Linked DNA regions of Notamacropus eugenii. The protein of the gene in region 3 purifies or fractionates together with the protein of the main gene of each other region. This does not show direct contact. Links are inferred from orthologs where the notes say so. Each region holds a gene or a part of one and is shown on either strand. Other genes may lie near its edges.

The links.
Region 1: the proteins of ADRA1D (region 3) and DTNA purify together in Homo sapiens (tandem affinity purification; 4 studies listed by BioGRID and IntAct, with this or other methods). This does not show direct contact. The link is inferred for Notamacropus eugenii from reciprocal best matches to the Homo sapiens genes ADRA1D and DTNA.
Region 2: the proteins of ADRA1D (region 3) and utrophin-like purify together in Homo sapiens (tandem affinity purification; 4 studies listed by BioGRID and IntAct, with this or other methods). This does not show direct contact. The link is inferred for Notamacropus eugenii from reciprocal best matches to the Homo sapiens genes ADRA1D and UTRN.

The regions. Positions count from the first base shown.
Region 1 is NC_092875.1:262,176,906-262,184,197, reverse strand, and holds the start of DTNA (dystrobrevin alpha), read right to left. Parts: upstream 3,110-7,292; 5' UTR 2,651-3,109; coding exon 2,634-2,650; intron 1-2,633. UniProt on the Homo sapiens protein: May be involved in the formation and stability of synapses as well as being involved in the clustering of nicotinic acetylcholine receptors.
Region 2 is NC_092873.1:232,659,907-232,667,283, reverse strand, and holds the start of utrophin-like, read right to left. Parts: upstream 3,102-7,377; 5' UTR 1-3,101.
Region 3 is NC_092872.1:735,296,554-735,303,765, reverse strand, and holds the start of ADRA1D (alpha-1D adrenergic receptor), read right to left. Parts: upstream 3,108-7,212; 5' UTR 2,602-3,107; coding exon 1,482-2,601; intron 1-1,481. UniProt on the Homo sapiens protein: This alpha-adrenergic receptor mediates its effect through the influx of extracellular calcium.

The DNA.
Region 1 (7,292 bases), on a different chromosome or scaffold from region 3:
TATACTGGTCACTTCCTGTCTTATGAAAAGCATTCAAGAAGGTCAAGAAGAATATAGTACAAGTATGCCAAGAAAATTCAGACAAGTGGCAATCCCACTAATTATATGGTAGCTTCCACTCTGCAACCCATTTCCAGGGGTGTGATAGAAGCAATTCATATTGGAGAGCCAACTGTTAAATTTTTAGTGTGAACATTTATACCTCAGAAATCACCAAAAGCTACAAATCAGAGCTTGATTTATTGATTTGGTGATTGTTTAGATTTAAGAAAGTGATGGAAAAATGTTTATAACAGAGATTAAATTTCAAAAATCTTTTATGCTTTCATTCCTGGTTCCTCCTCAAGAAAGCCAGTTGTTAAATATTTACCAGCATATCACTGTCTACCTCTGATCCTCCACAGAGTTTCCAGACCCAACTCTTGAAGTCACACAAAAGAGGCAATTCTGTGGGTGTCTGAGGAAGGTAAGTGTTGCCTTCCCCATTAGAAGGTGAGCTCCTAGAATGCAGGGGCTGTCCTTGCTTTTCTATTTGTATTCCAAGTACTTAGAACAGTGTTCTTCACATCCTAAGTACTAAAGTGCTTCATCCATTCATTCATAATACTTGATGGAATTTACAAGCAGAATAAAGAGTATATTACTTGAATCTTTCACACCAAAGAGGAAGGATTGAGTTGAGTAATTTGCCACATATGCCAGAATACATGGGTTTTTTCCCCAAATATGAAACAAAATTATTACCAGGGTTGAATTAATTTTACAAAGTGGGTAGGGAAAATTCCCATGATACCACAGGACTAGCCTTGATGACAGGACATAGATTTTTGTCTTTCTTTGCATTCTTTAGGACAGTCTCTACCACATAGTAAGTATTTCAATGCTGAATGGCTGAATGATTTACTTAGGGATCTAGCATAGATAGAATTGGTTATTGCTTACTGCCTAGGTCCTGGGATTTCAGAAAAGCCCTCTCCCTTCACAAACACAACCTCCAGTGTTTGCCCATAAATACCTTCCCTACTATGCTGGCTAGATATCTATAAAAGACAACAAAGCCTTTCTCTTCATAATTAGAGATAAGATGTAAAGCACAATACCCTTGGGATTCTCATATTTTTCCTTGAAATCACACTAACTTGTAGATAACTGATATCTGATCCTTTTTTGAGAGGCTTAACAGGGAAGGGTTAGAGTCTGACCCACCACTAGGTGGATAGGTTACTTAGCTCAAAAATTCTTCTCCCATATCTCTAGGAAGAATTTGAGGAGTACTAAGTTACTGCCATTTCCTTTACCACCCTGGAAAAATGCAAAAGGCAAATTTGCCCCCAGATCATTAGTCTAACATCCATTTTCCTTTAGAGGCCTGAACGGTGGGTGTTATTTTTCTTTGCCAACTTGGGTGATGCACTCAGAATTATCTACAATACAAAGTAACCAGATTAAGGCACCCATTGCTTATTTTAATCTCATTTAATCTAGTACAGCCTAGTCTGTAAGGCAGAGCATAGATTAAACTTCCATAATCAACAACTGTCTTCAGTTCTGGGCTTTATAACAACAATGTCAGCAGATTTATTTTCCCCATAGAAAGACTTTCTAATTCACGCTGTGTTCCCTGTGACAATTACGGACAGTATTTATTCAGAAGGAGTGCTGGGCAAGTTTGGAAAAGCAGCTAGTAAGAACACAGCCAAGAGGTCATTTTACAAAAGAAAAAAGCAAAATCTATACATGGTCAGAATGTGCAAGGAAATGAAATTGTAGTTTGCTTCAAGTAGTTTGCTTCTCTATCCTGTCTTCTAAAAGAAGCACAAAAATCCTTAAAATACAGATTAGTGGATTTAAAAAAAAATCTACTCCCCCCCAAACACACACTTTGCAATATAATCAAACCTTTGTAATGATTTAGCAAATGCCAGCTTTATTTTTTTTTCTGAGGGATTAGTTAAAGGAATATGCCAGATATTACTAGTTACACTTATTAGAAAATAACTTCTTTAAATTAAGTCCTTTTTGATGAAAGCTATGTATTTCCATCATTAATTTAGTTTAAAAATACCTATTAAGTGTTTGCGATATGGTAGGTACTATTTTTGTCCCCCAACTTTTTAAGATTAGCTAAGAAATTATCTTCTGTAGTTACCCTATGCACTTTTCAAACAGCTTTTTTTCTATGCAAATTAGGAAACATAATGCAAGAGGAATTACAAAGTTTTTCTGAAGTGTCAAACCCATATAACACACTTTCTCCAGCAACACACTAAAAAGATGATATTCTTTGTTTGCAGTATCCTACAGTATAAGACTACTGATAATTTAATTAAACAAACCTATTGTGTTAGAAGTGGGTAAGTGTGTGGGGGGGGGAAGGGGGAGAGCAAAGGGTACAGCAGATAAATTTTAAATGGACTGGCAAACAGTACCAAAAAAAAAAAAAAACCAACAAAACTATAGAGCTCTCTTTCAATGGCTTAAAACATGAAATCCAAATGTTTCTAGAAGGATAGAGGAATGATTACCCTCAAGATACTCAAAGCCCAAATTATTTCATTTTTCTTTTCTTCAAAGAATTCCAAATTAGCTTTCACAGTTAAGAGTTGCACCTGAAAATAAAGCTTTCTACTTACCCTAGTGTATGCACCATCACCTCCTAAACCACCTGAATTCCAATGTATCCAGAATGTGTATGGATACAAAAAGGAGAAAATAGAGTAGAGGACAAAATTTGTCCAAAGAGTTAATTATAACAGAGATCAAAACAGAACTCCCTGAAATGTTAGGGAGCTAGATGAACCTAATCCTTGCCTCCAGAGCTGGGTATATACTGTGTCTATCTTTAACTTGTAAATGATTTGGTTTCACATTCCATTGAAGTCCCACTGGCAGATGCCTTTGGTGAACTCACCAATCACAAGCTTTCATGTGCCCTCCCTTTCTCTCCCAGTCCTGGCTGTGCTTCCGTTCTGATATCTAATACAGATTTACTCAGCTGTCTTTTTACCTGTCCCTGCATGGATGAAAGAGGATGCTTTCATTGATGACTATTACTGAAAGGCTGGGAATGAAAGACCAGGCTGAGAAATCGTTCTGCTACTTCCTGTCTTCTGCCCTCCCTTCCCCCATCCTCCCCTCCTCTCCTAGCCAGAAATCAAACTAACTTCCAAACTTGGCTGCCCACGAAGGAATGTTCTCTGACTGCCATTCCTGCAAGTGGAAAGCAATGGAGAACAGCTCCTGCACTTTCTTCTTCACTAGCAATCTCCCAGGTATATATAACACAAATGTATTAGGTGATTTTTTTCCTATGATATTTTTTGGGTGATCTTTTTTCCTCTGGGGGGAGGGGAACAAATATAGGACATAAAATATTATGTTGGAGCACAAGAGGGTTTTTATTTCCACAAATGAGGTTTTTTTAAATCCCCAAATAAAATTTTGTTAAAAAAAAAAAAGGCAAAATTTTTCTTGAGAATTGAAATGAAATTTAGGAAATGAGCTTTTAGAACCTATCAAAGGGAGAAAACCACACAGTTCAAGGTTAACAATATAGTCAGAGACAAACTTGCTTAAATGAATTGTGGATACAAGGATTTAAATCACTCTTTGAATTAAGTCCCCAGGCACAGATTATCCATAGCATTTCCCAATGAAGCTTGTATAAGAAGGACAAAAGAAACCTGTGCAGCTTCTCACGGCTCCCAGAGCCAACTCTGTCAGGGACTGTGATTGGGAAAGAGTTATTCTGCCTAAGGAAGAAGATCTGGAGGAAGGGAAATAGGAGTAAGGTTGGGAGGTGAGAAAATGAGATGACTTTAGCAGGCATCATACTCACATCAAAGGGACTTTTCCTGAAAGGTTCATATCTATACTCCTACAGTTTTTCCCCAGTGTGTTTCTTTATTGCAATGTCAGGATAATTTATTGACTTACACTCTTCATATTGCTTGTGCAAGTGTGTATTTATATCTGCCTAGCTAGATGGATTTTCATTCAACAAAAGGAAAAAATATATGACAAAAGCAACCGTAGACAGTTCATTACTCCCTTGTTACACATTTAATGTCAAGTGAACTAAAGGGAAGCTGCCAACACATCAGGTGGAGCCTTATGGGACAACGTGGAAAAGAATTACACAGAATAGACATGCATGGGTGGATTGCAATTTGTACTGTTGGGGGAGTAGCCACTGCAGGGATGAGATCAGAGATCCATTGGAAAACCTTCATAACAATTAGAACTATACTGATGTAGAACGGGCTGTATACGGATATGACGACTTTCCAAATAACCTAGCTCTTTGAGTATAGACAGAACAACTACTTGTTAAGAGTAGGCAGCTAAGGGGTACTGTGGATAGAGGATGGGACCTGAAGTCAAGAAAAATAGAGTTAAAATTCAGCCTCAGATACTTGCTAGCTATGTTAACCTGGGCAAGTCACAATCTCTGCCTTAGTTTCCTCAGCTGCATAATGGGGATAATAACAGCACCTGCCTCAAAGGGATGCTATGAGGATGAAATGAGATAATATTTGTAAAGTGTTTAGCAAAGTGTCCAGCATGTAGTAGCTGCTATAGAAATGCTAGCTGTCATTAATAATCATTGTTATCATTATTAATAATCAATAATAATGTTAGCCATTTTTTCCTCTTTCCCCCATCTTGACACATTGGTGAACCAATTCAACATTACCTTGCCTTCCTCTCTTGAATCTTTAGTTCTCTTACTATTATTCAGATTGTTTCCTGTCAAACGTAAGCCTTAGATCACTGCCACCATCCTTTGCCTTTGGTCCTACGCATGTGCTGCTGAACAAAGAGGGAGGAAAACCATACAACTGTCCTGATGGGGTCCACTATATATTTGTTATATTACACAACCTCAACTGGGCCTTCACTGCTGCTAGGCAATCCTACCATACCTCCTGTATCAACTCACTATCCCACTCTCCATGGCAGCTCTCACAAATTTTTTATCCTTTCTCAAATTTCCCATAGCTTCTATTCCTCTCACTCTCTGTTATGTTATATTTCATACAAAAAATTGCAGCTATAATATCCCTCTTTTCCTCCCTTCCTAATTTCATATTACTTATACGTGTTGGGCCACTATCTTTTCCACCCTTGTCTCACATGATGAAGTAGCCTTACTCTTTACTATAATACTAACTCCTCTATCTGATTGCCCCCCCTGCCATCCCTACCCTTTCACTTACTTTCAGTTCTTCCTCCCTCTCTTGCCTCCACACAGGCCCAATGCCCCTCCCTCTATCCTCAAAAACCCTTCACTTGGATCCTACGGTCTATCATCCTACATCTCTTCTGCCCTTTGTGGTTAAAATTTTTAAAAAAGGCCATCTTAACAACTGCCTCTACTTTGTCTCCTCTCATTTAACCCCTTACATCTGGCTTCTGATCTTACATTCCACCCAAGTTGCTCTCTCCAAAATTACCAGTGATTTCTTAATTGCCAAATCCAATGATTTTTTTCTTAATCTTCACTCTTATCAACCTCTCTTTAGTCTTTGAAACTGTTGGTCACCATCTCCTTCTCAATATTCTCTTTTTTTTTTTTTTTTTTTTAGGTTTTTGGAACACCACTCTCTCCTAGTTCTTCTCCCTCCTCTCTGAGCACTCTTCAGTCTCCTTTATTACATCCTCCTCTAGGTTACCCTTCAACCCTAAAGGCTTCTGTCCTGTATCCTTTTCTCCCTCTATAACCACTTTATTAGCTCCTATGGAATTAACTTGCATTTCTATGTTGGTGATTCTCAAATCTACCTGTCCTACACTAACCTCTCTCCTTACTTTTAATCTTGCATCTTCAATTGCTTTTCAGGCAATCTCAAACTAAACAGCCAGTAAGCATCTTAAACTCAATATACCCATAGCTGAACTCGGTATACTTCTCCCCAAACCCTGCCCTAATCCTACGTTTCTTATTACTGTAGAGGGCAATGTCATCTTAGTCTTTCAGGCTCACAACCTAGATGTCATCCTCAACTTCTCATTATTTCTCATCCCACTCCCCTCCCATATCCAATGCATTGTGAATGACTGTTGATTTCACCTTTGCCTAACCTATCATATACATCCCTGTCTCTCCTGACAATACCACCACTTTGGTACAAGTCCTTATCATCTCATGCCTAGACTATTGCAATGGCCTGCCCAAGTCTCTCCCTACTCCAATCCATCCTCCATTCAACCATCAAAGTAATTTTCCTTAAGTGCAGATCCAACCCTATCATTTCCCTACTCAATAAACTACAGTGACTTCCTATAGCCTCCAAGATCAAACACAAAATTTTTTATTTGGTGTTCAAGGCCCTTTGTAATTGTAAAAGCAAGGACCCCGACATACACAAGAGGCCTATTATCACAGGGTTTTTGATCTGATTTTCTAAAAGAAAAGCAACTTGAGGGGTCAACAATCTACTTTAATCAAGCACATGTGTTATTCACTTAGTTCAGGGGAAAAAGTCAGTACCCTGAATTTCAAAGAAAATACAGATCAACAGACAGGGCTTCCAGCTGCCTAACATAAGCAAGACATATGTCATAGACCAACAGACAGATAACTGTCTGACCATTACATACATGGAAGCCCCAACATGTGGATTTTCAAAGCCGGGGGCTCCTTAGCAACTGCCCAGAGACTCTTCTGGCCAAACAAAACATTTTCAATGAGAAAGCCCCAACATAAAACCTCACCTCAGATATACGTACACTTTCCATAGCCAGAGGGCATCACAACCCTTGCTTGAGAACTAGTGCCTCCTTAGAAAATTAACAAAAGGTGTGGGTCTCCCCTAATCAAGCTTCCCTTAATGAGCAGACCCATTAATGGGTGGGAAAGATCTTCCCATTAAGAAGCAAAATTACATTAACAATAAGCAAAAATGCATTATCAATACAATAATTTAGCCCCCTCCTATCTTTCCAGTATTCTTAGACTTTACTCCCCATGTATGCTTCTATCCAGTGACACTGAAATATTCTTTCTCATTATCTCCATCTACTACATTCTCTGGCTTCTTCTAAGTCCCAACTAAAATCTGATCTTCTATAGGAAGTCTTTCCCAATCTCTCTTAATTCTAGTGCCCTTCTCTTAATGATTTCCTATTTAATCTGTATATAGCTTGTTTGTATGTATTGGCTTGTTGTCTCCGCCACTAGATTGGGAGCTTCTGGAGGGCAAGCACTGTCTTTTGATTCTTTTTGTGTCCTCCAGACTTATCACAGTTTCTGGTACATAGTAGATGCTCTAGAAATATTTAGGCACTTA
Region 2 (7,377 bases), on a different chromosome or scaffold from region 3:
AGGGGGGATGGAGAGGAGGCAAAAAAAGAAACTCATTCTAACAAATATTCACAGTGATGTATTTTGCTAAATGACCCTAAATCCATCACCTTCCTGTCATGGAGAACATGTTTATTTGATCATCAGTCCTCGGAAATCATGAATGGTGATTGTGTTAATCATCTTTCTTACAGATTTCTTACATAGGAGTTTACAATTTAACACAAATAGTATAGACTCAAAAATAATAAGGGAAAAGACAAATGAGCCAATTCATAATTTAAATGAACAAGTATTTAAGCATGTGTGGAAAGTCAAGGGTATCTACTGCGCATGATGAATTAATAGAGAAGGCAACTTGGGAGTTGCACACCAGAGTAAATTACAACCTTTCTTCCAGGTAAATAGAGAAAGTTTCATGAGGAATAACATTAAGAGAAAACAATTACACCACAAAAATCTAAACACATAGGTGATCGCAGAGCCTCTCCTACAGAGAAAGGAGAACTGGCAGTCATCAGCTGGTACTGTTTCCCTCAGAAAGATATTCTCACCCTGAGGCCAGAAGTGCCAAATTTTCAAGAGAAAAGGGCCTCTGGGATCATCTTGTTCAAGCTTTATCTGAAGAGACTCTCAACTATGCCACATCCAACAAACAGTTAACTAAATTTTTACTAAAGACTTGTAGTCAACAGAATATTTGTTTTTGCAGAAAAATTTGGAGACAGTGGTAACTTTTCCCCTATCATATACAGAATTGGTAGGAGCAAGGGGTAGTATTCATTCCACCCAAATGAAAATGAAGGTAATGTCTTAGTTAACACAGCCATGTATCCTTCTCTTCTGGTATAAAGACTTATACAAGCTGCCAATTCCTAGTTTAATTATAGGACTTCATGGACCAAGATAAATTTTTTAGTTCTTTTTCTGTTCTTTTTTAGTTCTGATATCTAGTTTCCCAGAAACAGTAATAGAAAAATGATACTCCAACATCCTCACTCCATTCTCACCCCCCCAAAAAAAAAAATTTCAGGAGTATGCATCATGGCATTCCCCAGGCAGAAAAAGTCAAGAGTATCCAAGGAGTCTATTACCAATCCAGAAATGGCAGCAACGTCTCCAAGTCTATGGTGACTAATGACATTCCTCCACCAAAAGAAGCAGCTGTATATGGGTGCCAGTCATTGGCAAGGAAGCTAGGATCTGATCTCAGTGGAATTCACAAGGGAAAGTCTGCAACAGCAGCTGAGATGCTACTTAAGCCAGATCCCCCTGTCACTACCAATTCACCAGTGCAACTCTTTATGGGGGAGAAATGGAAGAGGTTTAGTCAGTCAATAAGCACGTATTTATGCACTTGCTATGTGCCAGTGCAAGGGGCTCAATAGTATGTATTTGTGGAAACTCAGTCTCTTCTCTACCCCACCCCTACCGCCGCAAAATTTAATTTAAAACTACATAGACGCATATTCAATGCTACAGGTATGAAGAAAAGGGGCAACAAAGAATTCTAATTTGGATGAGCTTAAACTTCAAAGATTTGCCATCATACCCAAGGGAGGCAAATACAGTCTACCTGGTGGGTTTGGTTAAGCACACCAACCCGAGGACCACTCATGCCACCCACATGATCACCAGATGGCTCTCTGCCCACAGAACTAGATGATTTAATTAAATGATTCCAAGTTCAGCTCTCCAATGCACACTTCCTGGGCTCCAGATACCATCTCTTCTATGAAAGCTTCTGACTCCCTGTCCCCATATCTCACATGCTGCTGATACTATCTTCCATTTCTCAAGTATTTCTACACCACTGTATTTAATCCCTCACTACCTTCAATCCCTATCAATCAATCATTTAACAAGTGTCTATATTTGCAAAGCATTATGTTAGGCTCTTTGGATACAAAGACAAAGATGAAGCAACTTAAGTAACATTCTACCAAAAGAAACAGCATGTACATATATGAATACATACAAAGTAAGGATTAGAAAAGCACACAACCTGTGTACAGAGCAAATCCCCACACATATATACACACTCCCAGGTAAAATGTTCATTCAGTTCCTTAAAGGCAGACTCTATTTTTGCTTTTTTATTCCCCAAACCTAGCATAATTGAAATGACATAGGTGTTAATACTACATAGCTAAGGAGAAAAGTTCTGTATAAAATAGGTGTGTGTTTGTGTCACTTTTACATAAACCATAACTGACATTATTCAAATTCCCATGTAAATATGAAGACTGGAGAGGGTCTTTCAAGAGACCACATGGCCTGAAGGAGGTGGGTTAACAATACATTTTTTGAAATATATGCTAGGAGGACACAGAAATATGAGAGGAAACGTAAGGCTTCTGCTCTGGAAACTTGGGTTCAGAGGTCATTAAGAAGATCCAGAAGTGCAAGAAAAAGAAAAAGGCAAAAAAACCAAGTCTGAGTCATCATGAGGCAGGGTAACTGGGAGTAAAGTAAAGAAGTGGTTTCCCAGTCTTAGATTTGCTGCTCATTCCCTCACTAATTGTTATAACCACGGGCAGGTCTGGGTCTTAGCTTCCTCACCCCCAAAATGAAGAAATTAGAATAGATATTCCCTAAATTATCTTCCAGCCCTAAAATTCGGAGTCTATCCAAAGTATTGGGTTTACTTCTTGATGATAAGTGAGTTTGCCTGAAGGACACACATGTCAAGCTTACAGAATGGACTTATGCTTCAAGTTATATGAATAGACTAGAAGTCTAGACCCCCTTCAAAACCTAAAATTCTATGGGATATCCTCAGAGTTCTATTGGTCCTTTGAGGTCACATAAACACAGTGATGTCTTGCAACCAACAATCAGCTATCAAATTACTGAATTTTCAGTGTATTTAAATCTTGGAAATTGGCAAACACTACAAATTAGGGATTGATTTATTGTTTTGCTAATTATTCAGACTTACAAAAGGGATAGAGAAAATGTTAATGATGAAGATTAAACTAATAAGTGAAAAGCATGTGTATATATGTGTTAAATATATGTGTGTGTATATATATGTTATATATAGTATATATATCTCTAGCAATCTGGTTGCTAAACATTTATTAACACACCCATGAATATATACCATTGCAGGCAATGTAGTGACAGCTGAAGAGCATTAAGTCACCTTCGAAAATACATAACTGATCTCCACCCTACAAGATCTACAAGAATAGTGATATTTTTAAAATATATATATATATATGTATATATATATATTAATACTGCCTGATACTGGAAGAATCCTTTATATTACTTAAGGTTCTTTCACATTTATTATCTCATTTGATCCTTAGAATATCCCCATAGGTGAGTAGAAGAGTTATTACAAATTTTATTTGACAGGGCAGCAATCAGAAGCAAGAAGAGGTGTGACTTATTTCTGATCACCTCCTCCTTCAACCCAACCTGGTATCCCTTCCATTGCACCCCACTCACTGTTTTGTGCATTATTCATTAACATACTTTGGAAATTCTCAATACATCAATAGAGTCATGGGCCATAAATTCATAAAAAGGAGTAAGATGAATGACAAACACACTACTAAAGCCTAAAATACAAATGGCTTACACAGCCTCTCCTTCCACTAAGAAGGATGACTTCCAAGAAACATTCATCATCTGATGCTTCTCTGAGTAGAATTTCCTCTCCCTGGGTTCAGAATGACTGAACTTCAAGAAGTGAAAGAGTTAAGAGAGTTGACCTATAGGAGGCTGTACTATCCAAACTATAGCTGAACAAGACTTCCTCCCCAGCCTCCCCTTACAGCACAGTCAACAAGTGATTATCCAACCTTTGCTTGAAGACCTCTAGAGCTGGAAGGTGGTTTGGCGATCAAGTCTGACCTCTCCAGTTTTTACAGATGAGAAACTGAGGCTCAGAAAGTTAAGGCTTGAATGACTTGCTCAAAGTCATTCAGGTACTGAAAATAATAGAGCTAGGATTCCAATTCAGGTCCCACGAATCCAAGGTCAATGCTCATGTCATTGTACCACACTGCCTTCCTATTGCTACTTTGATTGGATCAAGAAATTAAGGTACAAAATCAGTTTTGCAGAATCCTAAGTCGGAAACAGCATCCCAAATTCTAATGTTAAATTACTTGGACTAAAAGATAGCTCCAAGAAATTAAGAACATTTTTCTAAAAGTAAACTGTATTATGTAACATTTCCTCCCTCCCCCTTCCCCCTCTCTTTCTCTCACAGGAGCACCCAATGTCCAAATGCAAAAGAGGAAATGCATGTTCCTCAACAGCAATGTTTCAGATATCAGGTAGCAACAGCTGTTGAATCCCACCCATCCCTCTTCCCCCCACCCCCCTCCATTCTGGCAGAGACATAGAATCAAACTGCCAATTCAAGGCTTGGCCTCTTAAATGACCTCAGACTCCAGTTTCCCAGCAACAGCACGTTAAGTGCTCTAGGACTGGCTTGTCCCCTCAAACCTCTAAAATCATGACCTTCATTGAAGTTGTCCTTTCTTTTGAGTTATTAATCTGCTCATCCTCTACACCGGAAAGAGTAAAAATATGGGGGAGGAAAAGGAAGTGAATGAGAGTTACTTGGGCTATGGATTTCATGCAGCAAGAACAGCCCACAACAGGTGCAGCATTCAAATGAAATTAAGACTCTCAAAATAAAGTCATTAACATTAAGCATCAGTGCACAAAGAAACAGGGAGCCAGACATCATTAGGCAATGATGCAAGAGCTGGCTGGTATTACTATACTCTTCACCGGCAGAAGTTCCATACAGTTTTCCAAAACATTTAACAAAATGTCACCAGGCTCATACAACTTCTTTTCCATACTCCACCCCCAAAATGGGGGTAAAAAGCTTAAGATAACTGAAATACTGGACACAGTTGATATTTTTTTTGGTAATTTGACATTCCCTAGCCTATTAGATAGATACTGTCTCTACTAATACAGATCATGAATGCTCCACATACTCTCCATCTGTGAAATTCTTGCCCATAATCCCTTCATCAAAGAACTAACCAGAATACTGGAGGCTTTCCTCATCTTCTTTTATCTCATCATGCCCTCCCATGCAGACACCAATATAGCAGTTGGCCAATCACTGTTTTCTTTCATTCTCCCTACGTGGCCAATACCAAGTATCTAGGATTTACAGTACATATTACTGAGGGTGATGGACAAGGGAATTGAAGAAGTGGGGAGAAGAGAGGAGAAGAGAGCTTGTATGAAGGGAATGAGCTTTAGACTTGAGCAATTCAAAATCACTGACCATTTTTCTAAATGCATTGGAGTCTAATTTCCGCACTCCTCAATTCTGAGGGCAGTTCAAGGTTCACCTAGAATATCCATCCAAAATAAAGATGTTTACAGCTCAACCTGTGCCACTGGTCACAATAGGGGCAATATATTGTTTTTTAATCTCCTGTGCTGTCTTTCCCACCCACGGATAGACACTCAGACCAGTCTCTCATTGCTGAAGATGTACAGCACCTGCCTATAATTAATACCTTGTGATCTTTGCATGAGAGCATCTGATAACCTCAGCATCAAAAAGGGATTTTATTAATGTTGCTTAGACTTTGTATGTAGGGAATCCCCTGGGATATTGCTACACATCTACAGTGATAATATAACCCTCTGTTTTATGCCTCATGTCAAGAGATCTTGACTTTAAGTTATCTACATAGTTATATGTGTCAATTATATAATTTTAACAAATGCATTGTTTCCCATCTTGTTCTAATGAGTCAATTTTTTACTAAAAAAATAAAATATATAGCTTATCTGGGCTTGCTAGAGCTATCAAGGGAGCAACTGTAAAAATACAGATTGCTATAAGAATTCATTAATAAATCTTTCATGTTATCACCAAATTATCACCAAAGAGCATTCACAGACCATTCTTATTTTAAAAATAAATTTAGGAAAATGAAAAGGCAGATAGTCTATGGGTTGGTAAATAGTAACAGAATTTTTTCATATTTTTTTTAAATTTATTAAAATAGATGCATTTTTTTTCTAGTCTTTTGGAATAACTACCTCTTCACTATGTAGCACTAGTGGTTCTATTGTTGTCAACACTGAGAACAAATCACTTTATAAACAGTAGCAGATCTGTTCCATTTCATGTCAATTTGTTATTCTCCTTTCAATTCCATCTATATATGGTCATGGAATAATTTGACTTAAATTTGCCATGACTCACTTTCCTCTTTTTGCAGTTTTGTGAAGCAATATTCCTCAAAGTATTCTGTCCTCCTCCTCTTTAATCCTTTTTGTTAATGTTTTAATTTCTTTTTTCTTATAGCAACTTAATTTCGGAATTTATCCTTCCTCTTATATGTAAAACATCCCAGAATATAAAAAAAAAATTTAAAAAGGTTGTCAGAAAAAGCAATTCAGGAAAACCAATCAACACATCAATGCTGTCTAATTGCATATTCAATAGTCCACATATTCAATAGTTCACCATCTCTACAAAAGAAGCTTTCCATCACATTTTTCAAGTAAACGCTGCCATTGGGTGCCATTACCATATCACCTAGCAAGGCCCTTTTAGCCTCCTCACTATGGTAACTGTTTGACATATGCGAAACTTTTCTAAGAATGTATTAGAGATAACGTTCACTTATATTAATTTCCTTTCCCCCTCCATTCCCAAAGGCAGATACTTGTATAAAAACAGAATAGCAAAAAACTAGAAACTATGTGGGCACCTACTATTTGGAAGATGGCAAACAAATAGCTTATGGTTTATATGAACTGGAATATTATTACCACATATATTTACAGTAGATCACTTTCTCATAGCAAAGACTGGAAAGAAGGTATCCATCAACTGGGGAAGACTGAAGAAATTATAATATATGTATACATACATGGCATTATGGCATATAAACATGATAGAATTCTACTGTATTATATGAACTTGTCTGAATTGATTTTAAGCAAAACAAAATCATTTTCTACAATAATAATACAGTAAGGCAGTTTTCTGATGAAGTAATTAAAGCTAAAGCTATTTCTAGCCATATAAAAAATGCTTTGAATCAGTATTAATTAGAGAAATGTAAATTAAAACAACTCAGAAGCACCATGTCACAAATTGTCTATCAGACTGGCTAACATGACAAAGGAGGAAAATGATAAATGCTGGAGATGTGGGAAAATTGGAACTTCATTGCATTGCTGGTGGAGTAGCGAAATGATCCAACTAAAACTAAAAATAAATAAATGTTTGAAAAATAATAGCACTGTAAAAACAAGCAGCTTTAGAAAACTGAAGAACCATGATCAAGGCCATAACCAACAATTACTCCAGATGACTGTTGTAGAACTGTTATCCACTCTTCTGACAGAGAGCTGATAGACTCAAAATGCAAAATGAGACATAGA
Region 3 (7,212 bases):
GAGGAAATAAGTGTTCTAGGAAGGACTTGAACTTGGATCCAGATCTTTTCCATTCTGCAAGCCCATCCCTGGGGGACCTCAGACAAGTCATTAAACTTCTCTGGACCTGAGTTTGATCAGATCAAAATGAGAGGATTGGATTAGCTGACCTCTTTCTCCATTCTAAAATGAAGGTCCCATCAACTCTCTACAAGCACATAGCTGTCTCTCCATGCATATATATGTGTCTCTTTATGCAACAGTGCACTTGTCTACCTGCATGAACCCACCACACATATGTGCATTCCTGCACATATATGATCAGTAGGTGTAGAGGTATGCACACTCCTGGGCATCGTCAGATGTCCTCATCCCTTGCTCCCCAGGCCAACCTCCGTGGCTGGCAGCTTTCAAGGGAGCCAGCATGTTCCAGGGGAGGCAAGCTAGCCTGTGTCATTGCAGGGATCTGGAGTTCTGTGGAGTGTTACTCAGGGGACGAGTCACTATTGGAGCTCTGAGATGTTGGAACCTGCAGTGAGGTCACACTGTACTGAACAGAGAGTTCTCCCCATTGAGGCTCCTGGAGTGAATGCATGGAATACGCAGCAACATTGGCTCCTCTGCAGGAAACATTGTGTGTGTGTGTGTGTGTGTGTGTGTGTGTGTGTGTGTGTGTGTGTGTGTAAAAGGGTGCTGCTGGGAGAAGGGGAATTATTCCCTTAAGAAAGAAGCTCACCTGGGCATTCCCGGGCTGATTTCAGAAGGATTTCAGAAGGTGGCTTTAGCAAATCTATGAATGACAAAATATCAGAGGTAGAAGGGGACTGAGAGCTCACCCAGCCCAACCTCCTTGTTTTACAGGGAGAGGAAACTGAGGCAGGTCAGAAGCTGAAAGAGCCATGGCCAAGGTCACAGAGGTAGTCCTGGGATCCAGGTCTCCTGACTCTCCAGTTCATTGCTTTTTCTCTGATGCCATTCCAAGTGACCCTTCCTTGGTAATCCCGAAAAAATCCCTATCTCCATGAACTCTCTGCTTCTCAACACACGCCCACCGAAGTGTCTATACATTCATATGGTACACAGATGGACATGTACAACCAAGATTTCCACCTTCTCACAACCTTAGGCTAAGTAGGTTCAAGAACAGGGAAAAATAATTCAGGAAGCCAAATGAATGAGCTTAATTAGAAAAGGCAGTAAGAGAAAGCTGGATAGGGTGATAGCCTCCAGCCTCCCTTGGCACCAGCCTCCCTTACCACCACAAGTGCCCCAGGTACACACACTGAGAATACACACTATACACAACTTCCCCCCAACCCTACCCTATCCCCACCCTACTTCTCCCAGTTGTACTTATCAGTTTTGTTTTCCTTTTTACCCACACATCAAGCTCATCAACCAAAGACAGTCCAAGTGAAGCCTTGAGGCATCTGGGAAGGCTAAGAGGGCAGCCCGGAGGGCCAGTAAAGGGAATGGGGAAAGGGGCTGAGTGCCCCACTTACCCAGGGGCAGGACGAAGAAGAAGGGGAACCAGCAGAGCACAAAGACCCCCACCACGATGGCCAGGGTCTTGGCGGCCTTCTTCTCCCGGGAAAACTTGAGCAGGCGGACGGACAGCGAGCTTCGGAAGTTGTGGCCCTTGGCCGCGCGGGCGTCCTCGGTGCCGGAGCTCCGGCAGTGGATGCGAAGGACGATGTCCGCAGACTTGCTTCGTTCCCTCTTGACCCCGGCCTCCAGGCTCCTGGTGGTCCTCCGGGCCACCACGTACACGCGGAAGTACATGACTAGGATGACAGCCATGGGCAGGTAGAAGGAGCAGACAGACGAGAAGACAGCGTAGCCCGCCTCCTCCGTGATGCCGCAGAAGCGGTCGTCGGGGGGCACCGGCTCCTTCCAGCCCAGCAGCGGCCCCACCGACACCACGAGGGCCACGGCCCAGAGCAGACCCAGGATGGCGGCCGCCTTGCGCTCAGTCATGATGGCCGGGTACTTGAGCGAGTGTCTCACCCCGACGTAGCGGTCCACAGAGATGGTGCAGAGGCTGAGGATGGAGGCCGTGCAGCAGAGCACGTCCACGGCGGCCCACACGTCGCAGAAGGCCCGGCCGAAGGCCCAGAAGCCCAGCACCTCCATGGTGGCCGAGAAGGGCAGCACCGTGGCGCTCAGGAGCAGGTCTGCCACCGCCAGGTTGACGATGAAGTAGTTGGTGACCGTCTGCAGGTGGCGGTTGCATGCTACCGATAGGATGACCAGCAGGTTGCCAGCGATGGCCGCGAGGATGAAGGCGGCCAAGAAGACCCCGACGCCCAGCGCCTGGGCGCTCACCACCACGCCCCCCACGGCCGCTGTGTCGTTCACCTCGCCCCCGCCGCCAGGGTTGCCCGCCGGGCACGCGACCCCCGGGCCGCCCGGGAAGGTGCGGTTGCTCTCGCCGCCTCCCGCACCGACGACGGCAGCGCTCCCAGCTGCGGCGGGGACTCCGGCGACTACCACTCCAGAGCTGTCCGAGCCCCCGCCACTGCCGCTGCCCCCGCCGCCCCCTCCGCCGGCTCCACTGCCCCCCGGCCCGTTGTCGGAGCCGTGCCCGTCGAAGCCGACTTGGAGCAGGTCCGGGAATGGCATCCTAGAGGGCGGCCGTCGGGGATTGGACCCGAGGGAACGCGGCGCTGGCGGGGTGCGGGGAGCCGGGCATGGCCCTCCCGCTGCAGCGGCTGCCCTCCTCCTCCGCCGCCTTCTCCTCCTCCTGCTTCCCGGGGTGCCCCGCCTCCCACTCCCCCCTCAGCCCCGACGGGCTGCTCCTGACAAGTTCCCACGGGCAGTGCGGGGCCTCGGAGCAGGCTGGGAGGGGCAGCCCAGGGACAGGAGGCGGCTGGGGGGCTCCCCTAAGCGCAGTTCCAAGGTGAAAGCAACAAGACCCAAGGGGGAGCGAATGGATCTCCAAGCACGGCTGAGCCAAGCCGGCCAGAGCGAGCAAGAGGCTGGGATGCAGCCGCGGTCCGGGGCTGTCTGGTGCGGTTCGGTGCGGCTGGGGACGCGGAGCGGCTGGGACTGCGGTCCAGGCGGCTGCCACCGCTCGGCTCCCCACTGCTCTCAGCTCAGGCTCTGCTGGCACTTTGGCGGAGGAGAGAAAGCGCCAAGGGGGGCTGGGGGACTGGAGGAGGGGCCGGCAGGAGGAGGGCTCTGGGAGGGCGGGAGCTAGAAACTCCTTTTGGAAAGAAGGGACCCGGAGGTTGGGGAAGAGAGAGAGGGAGAAGGAGAGGGAGAGGGAGGAGGGGCGGGTCTGACTTTCCAGTGGGTTCAGGAGTGGGCAGCCGGCAGCCGCAGCTTGGGCTCAGTCTTCTGCCGCAGCCTCATTCTCCAGCTCGTCTCCTGTCCCCTTCCTTCTCTCTTCCTTTGCTCTCCCGCTTCCTCTTCCCCTTCCCCTCCCTCTGCTTCCTTCCTTTCCTCTCTCCCCGGCTCTCCTCTCTCTCCTTCTCCTCCCTGTTCTGTCTCGCCCTTCCCTTCTCTTTTCTCTCCTCCCTCCCTCTCCTGGATTTTTCCTTAACGTCTCTCTCCCTCCTCTCGGTCCTCCTTCCCCTTCCCCTCCCTCTTCCCCATCTTCTCCAGGACTCTGGTTGTCTGTCCTCGTCTCTGCATCTCTCCCCTCTTTAATTCTCTCCTTTTTCTCTCTTTTCTTCCCCCATTCCTCCCCCTTTCTTCCTTTTCTCTTCCCCCTTCAGCGTCTTCCTCTTCCTTTCCTCCTTCTTGTCTTTTTTTCTCTATTCCCCTCTCACCCCTACTTCTCCCCTTCCTTTCTCCTAATTCCATCTTTTACTTTCAGCGTCCCAAACCTCTACGCCTCCCCCTTCCCCCTTTCTTCAGCCATTTTGCCTAATGGGGACAAAAACAACGCTCACCTCACACAATTGTGGGGGTCAAATGAGCTAATTTGTGTAAAGCACTTTGCAAATCTCGAAGCGTTGTGATTCTTTTTGAAAAGATGCTTCTGTCCTCCCCACACCAGCCACGAGAGGGCAGCAGGCAGTTGAGATTCTTCTCGGGTCCAGAGTCCGCAGAAGTGATGTTCCAAACTAAGCCCCTCTTAAATGAATAGTGCTGACTTCCCAGTCCCAGCCCTACAGTGTAGTCAGCCAGCTATCCACCTCCCCTGAGCCACCCTGTAGCATCTCTTGTTTCCCATCCCAGGTACTCCGCAAATTCTTTAAGTATGTGCAGATTCACCCTTTGGATCCAGGCTTCAGAAAATCCTAGGACTTGGGATCCTTGGAGAGGTCATCATTGGTTCTAATCTTCTGTTTTCAAGCTTTAGGGCTTATTGTCTGCCCAGAAGTGTTCTACAAACCCTCTGGAAGCACAGAACAATCCCTGCCCTCTATATAGCACTGTGGATCCAGACCTATGAGTTAATTGACTAAAGAGTGCTCCCAGTGAGGAAATTCCCTCTACCAATACAGATTGTCTTCTGTTGGGCAATTTAGAGTATTAGAGATTTGCTGGAAGAGGATGTGGTAGAAAGGTTGAACAGGCAGGTCAATCATTGTACAAATGTTTGGCTGTGATTCTTCTCTTTTGGCTCTCTGGGCAAGATTCAGCCCTTCTCCCTGGATTACCCCATTCCAACTGTCACCAAATGACAGAGGCTCAGAGTTGGAAGGGACCTCAAAGGCCATCTAGTCCCAAATATGTCTGACTGAGCATCTCTTCTCCCACAGCCCTGATCACATGGTCATCCAGCCATTGCCTGGAGATCTCTTGGCAGCCCATCCCACTTTGGGATGGCTCTAATCATTGGGAAATTTTCTCTTACTTTGAGCTTTTGGTTTTGTTTCAAAGAGACATATGGAATAAGTCTAGTCTTGTTTTCACAGACACTTTCAAATACTCCAGGACAATACTTTCTTTGTAGTTGCTCATTTGACAAGATCCTGAGGTCCTTGGCAATCCTAGTGGTCCTTTTTTGGACAGTCCAGTTTGTCAATGACCTTTCTAAAATATGACATAATGAATTAACACAAGAGTCTAACTATGCTTTGACCAGAGCACCATACAGTGGAACTTTGATCCCCCTAGTTTGGAACACTTGGCCTCTCTAAAGGAAGCCTAAAATCTCATTTATCCTTTGGCTACCATATTGAATTTCAGAGACATTGTGAGCCTTCAAGATTAGAACAACTGGGTCTTTTTCAGATAAACTGCTATCTAACCATACTTACCTCACCCCGTACCTATGAAACCAACTTTTTGAACCCAAGTGTAAGATTTACATTGATTTCTACTAGATTTGACCTTATTAGAACTGGACCAGATGTTCTAGCATCCATCATAATTGTTTGAGCTGATGCTGTCATCCAACAATTACCTATTACTTGCCACCAAGGAAATTTATCATGACATGCAAATTTAATAGGCTTGCTATCTGTGCCTTTATCTGAGTCATTGGTAAAAATATTCAGCAGCATAGGAGCAAGTATCAAACTCTGGGAATTCTGTGCAGGCTGACTTGGAATCCTTAATGATCCCTCTTTGGTTCTGGTCATTTACTCAGCTAAACCATATAATGACCCTATAATCTAGCCCAAATTTTTCCTTCTCTTGAATAAAGATAGAAAAGCAGAAAACATACAAGGACAAATATTAGCCCATGAGCAATGGATGAGATACTCCTCCTGTTCTGCTGAGTCCTATCTTTCCTCAGGCTCCCTGTGCTTCAGCTTCATTTTGGGAGGGAAATGATCTTGGGGTGGCAAGATAGGTACCCTCATTTGAACTGCACCATTTGAGTGTTGGAATGGTAAAAGGTCAAGTTTGGACCTTCTGCAAATTATACGGTGGCTTAGATTTAGCTCCAGAGCTATGTCCATCTTCTCCTCCCTCTAAGAGGCTGGAGCAGCTTAGCAATTCCCTCTTGCCTTTTTTTTACCCCATGGAATTATTTAAAATTTTTTTGAGCTAGAATTCTGGGCTGAGAGTCAGGACAGTTCAGGGGAATGTCACTCAAGTACATCTTGGCGTGACTTGCAGAGCAGGGCCCAGAATAAGGACAGAATCCCCTGGTGGAGATGGCACCAGAAAAGAAGTCAGTATGTCTTGGCCCAGCTCTAGGCAGTAAGTAGTAAGCTCTATGGCTCTGGATAAATCCTTTCTCCTCCCTGGGTCCCCCCTCTTAAATGAAGGGGCCAGACTGGATGCTCACAGTGGTTAGCTCAAGCATGGCCATCTAATGGATCTGGCAGATTATGGAGAGTTTGGAAGACTTGGGGCTCATCCTAGTCCTTTAAGGATTATTTCAGGAATGGTGGTCATGGGCTGTCCCAAACTGTCTCTCAGAGCTGGAAGGAGTAGGGACAGATGAAATAGGGACAGACATAACCTGGAAGATATGTCTAGGGAATATGGAAAAGGCTTCAGGGAGCCTTCAGTGCCTAAGAAATGGACACCATTTGACCTTTTCTATCATTATGAATAAGTGCCCTTCCATCACCTGCTGGGAAAGGGCAGCCATGGTCAGTCTTTTTCAAATGGAAGAAAATCAAACAGTCACTGACTTAGTTGGGAGCAATTTCAGAGAATATCTGATCCAACTCCTACCCACCTCAATGAGATTCCCGTCTACAGCCAGCAAGTGTTTCCACTTTAGTTTGGCATCCCCAGAACCTACCTCAGGGTTTGGCACATACGCGGTGCTCATATATCCTTGGTGCTCCAGCCTTCTCTTGAAGACCTCCAGTAAGGAGGAGCCCACTACAAGGAGGAAGCTTTGTGACACAGTAGATAGATAGAGCAGTGGACCTGGAGTCAATAAGATGCAAATTTAAATCCAGCCTCATATTCTTGACTGGTTGCATGATCACTTAACCTCCCACTGCCTCATTTTCCTTAACTTCCTAAAACAGGGATAATAACAGCACCTACCTCCCAGGACTGTTGTGAAGATCAACTGAGGTAATATTTGTTACACATTTAGCACAGTGTTGGGGGCACATAGTAGGTACTATATAAAGGTTAGCTGCCTGTGTCCCTTGGAGTAGCTCCATTGGCTAGATCTTTTGTCTTGATGGGGAGTTGAGATAAATTTGTCCTTCTGCATCTTTCCCCCTCCCCACCATGGCTCCTAGCTCTGAGTTTTGAGGTGAGGGGCTAAACAGAACCGCTAGAATTCTTCTTACTGGTAGCTGCCCTTCAAGGGGATGAAGGTAGCCCTCATTCTTCCTCATGAAAGCCACCAAAGCATAG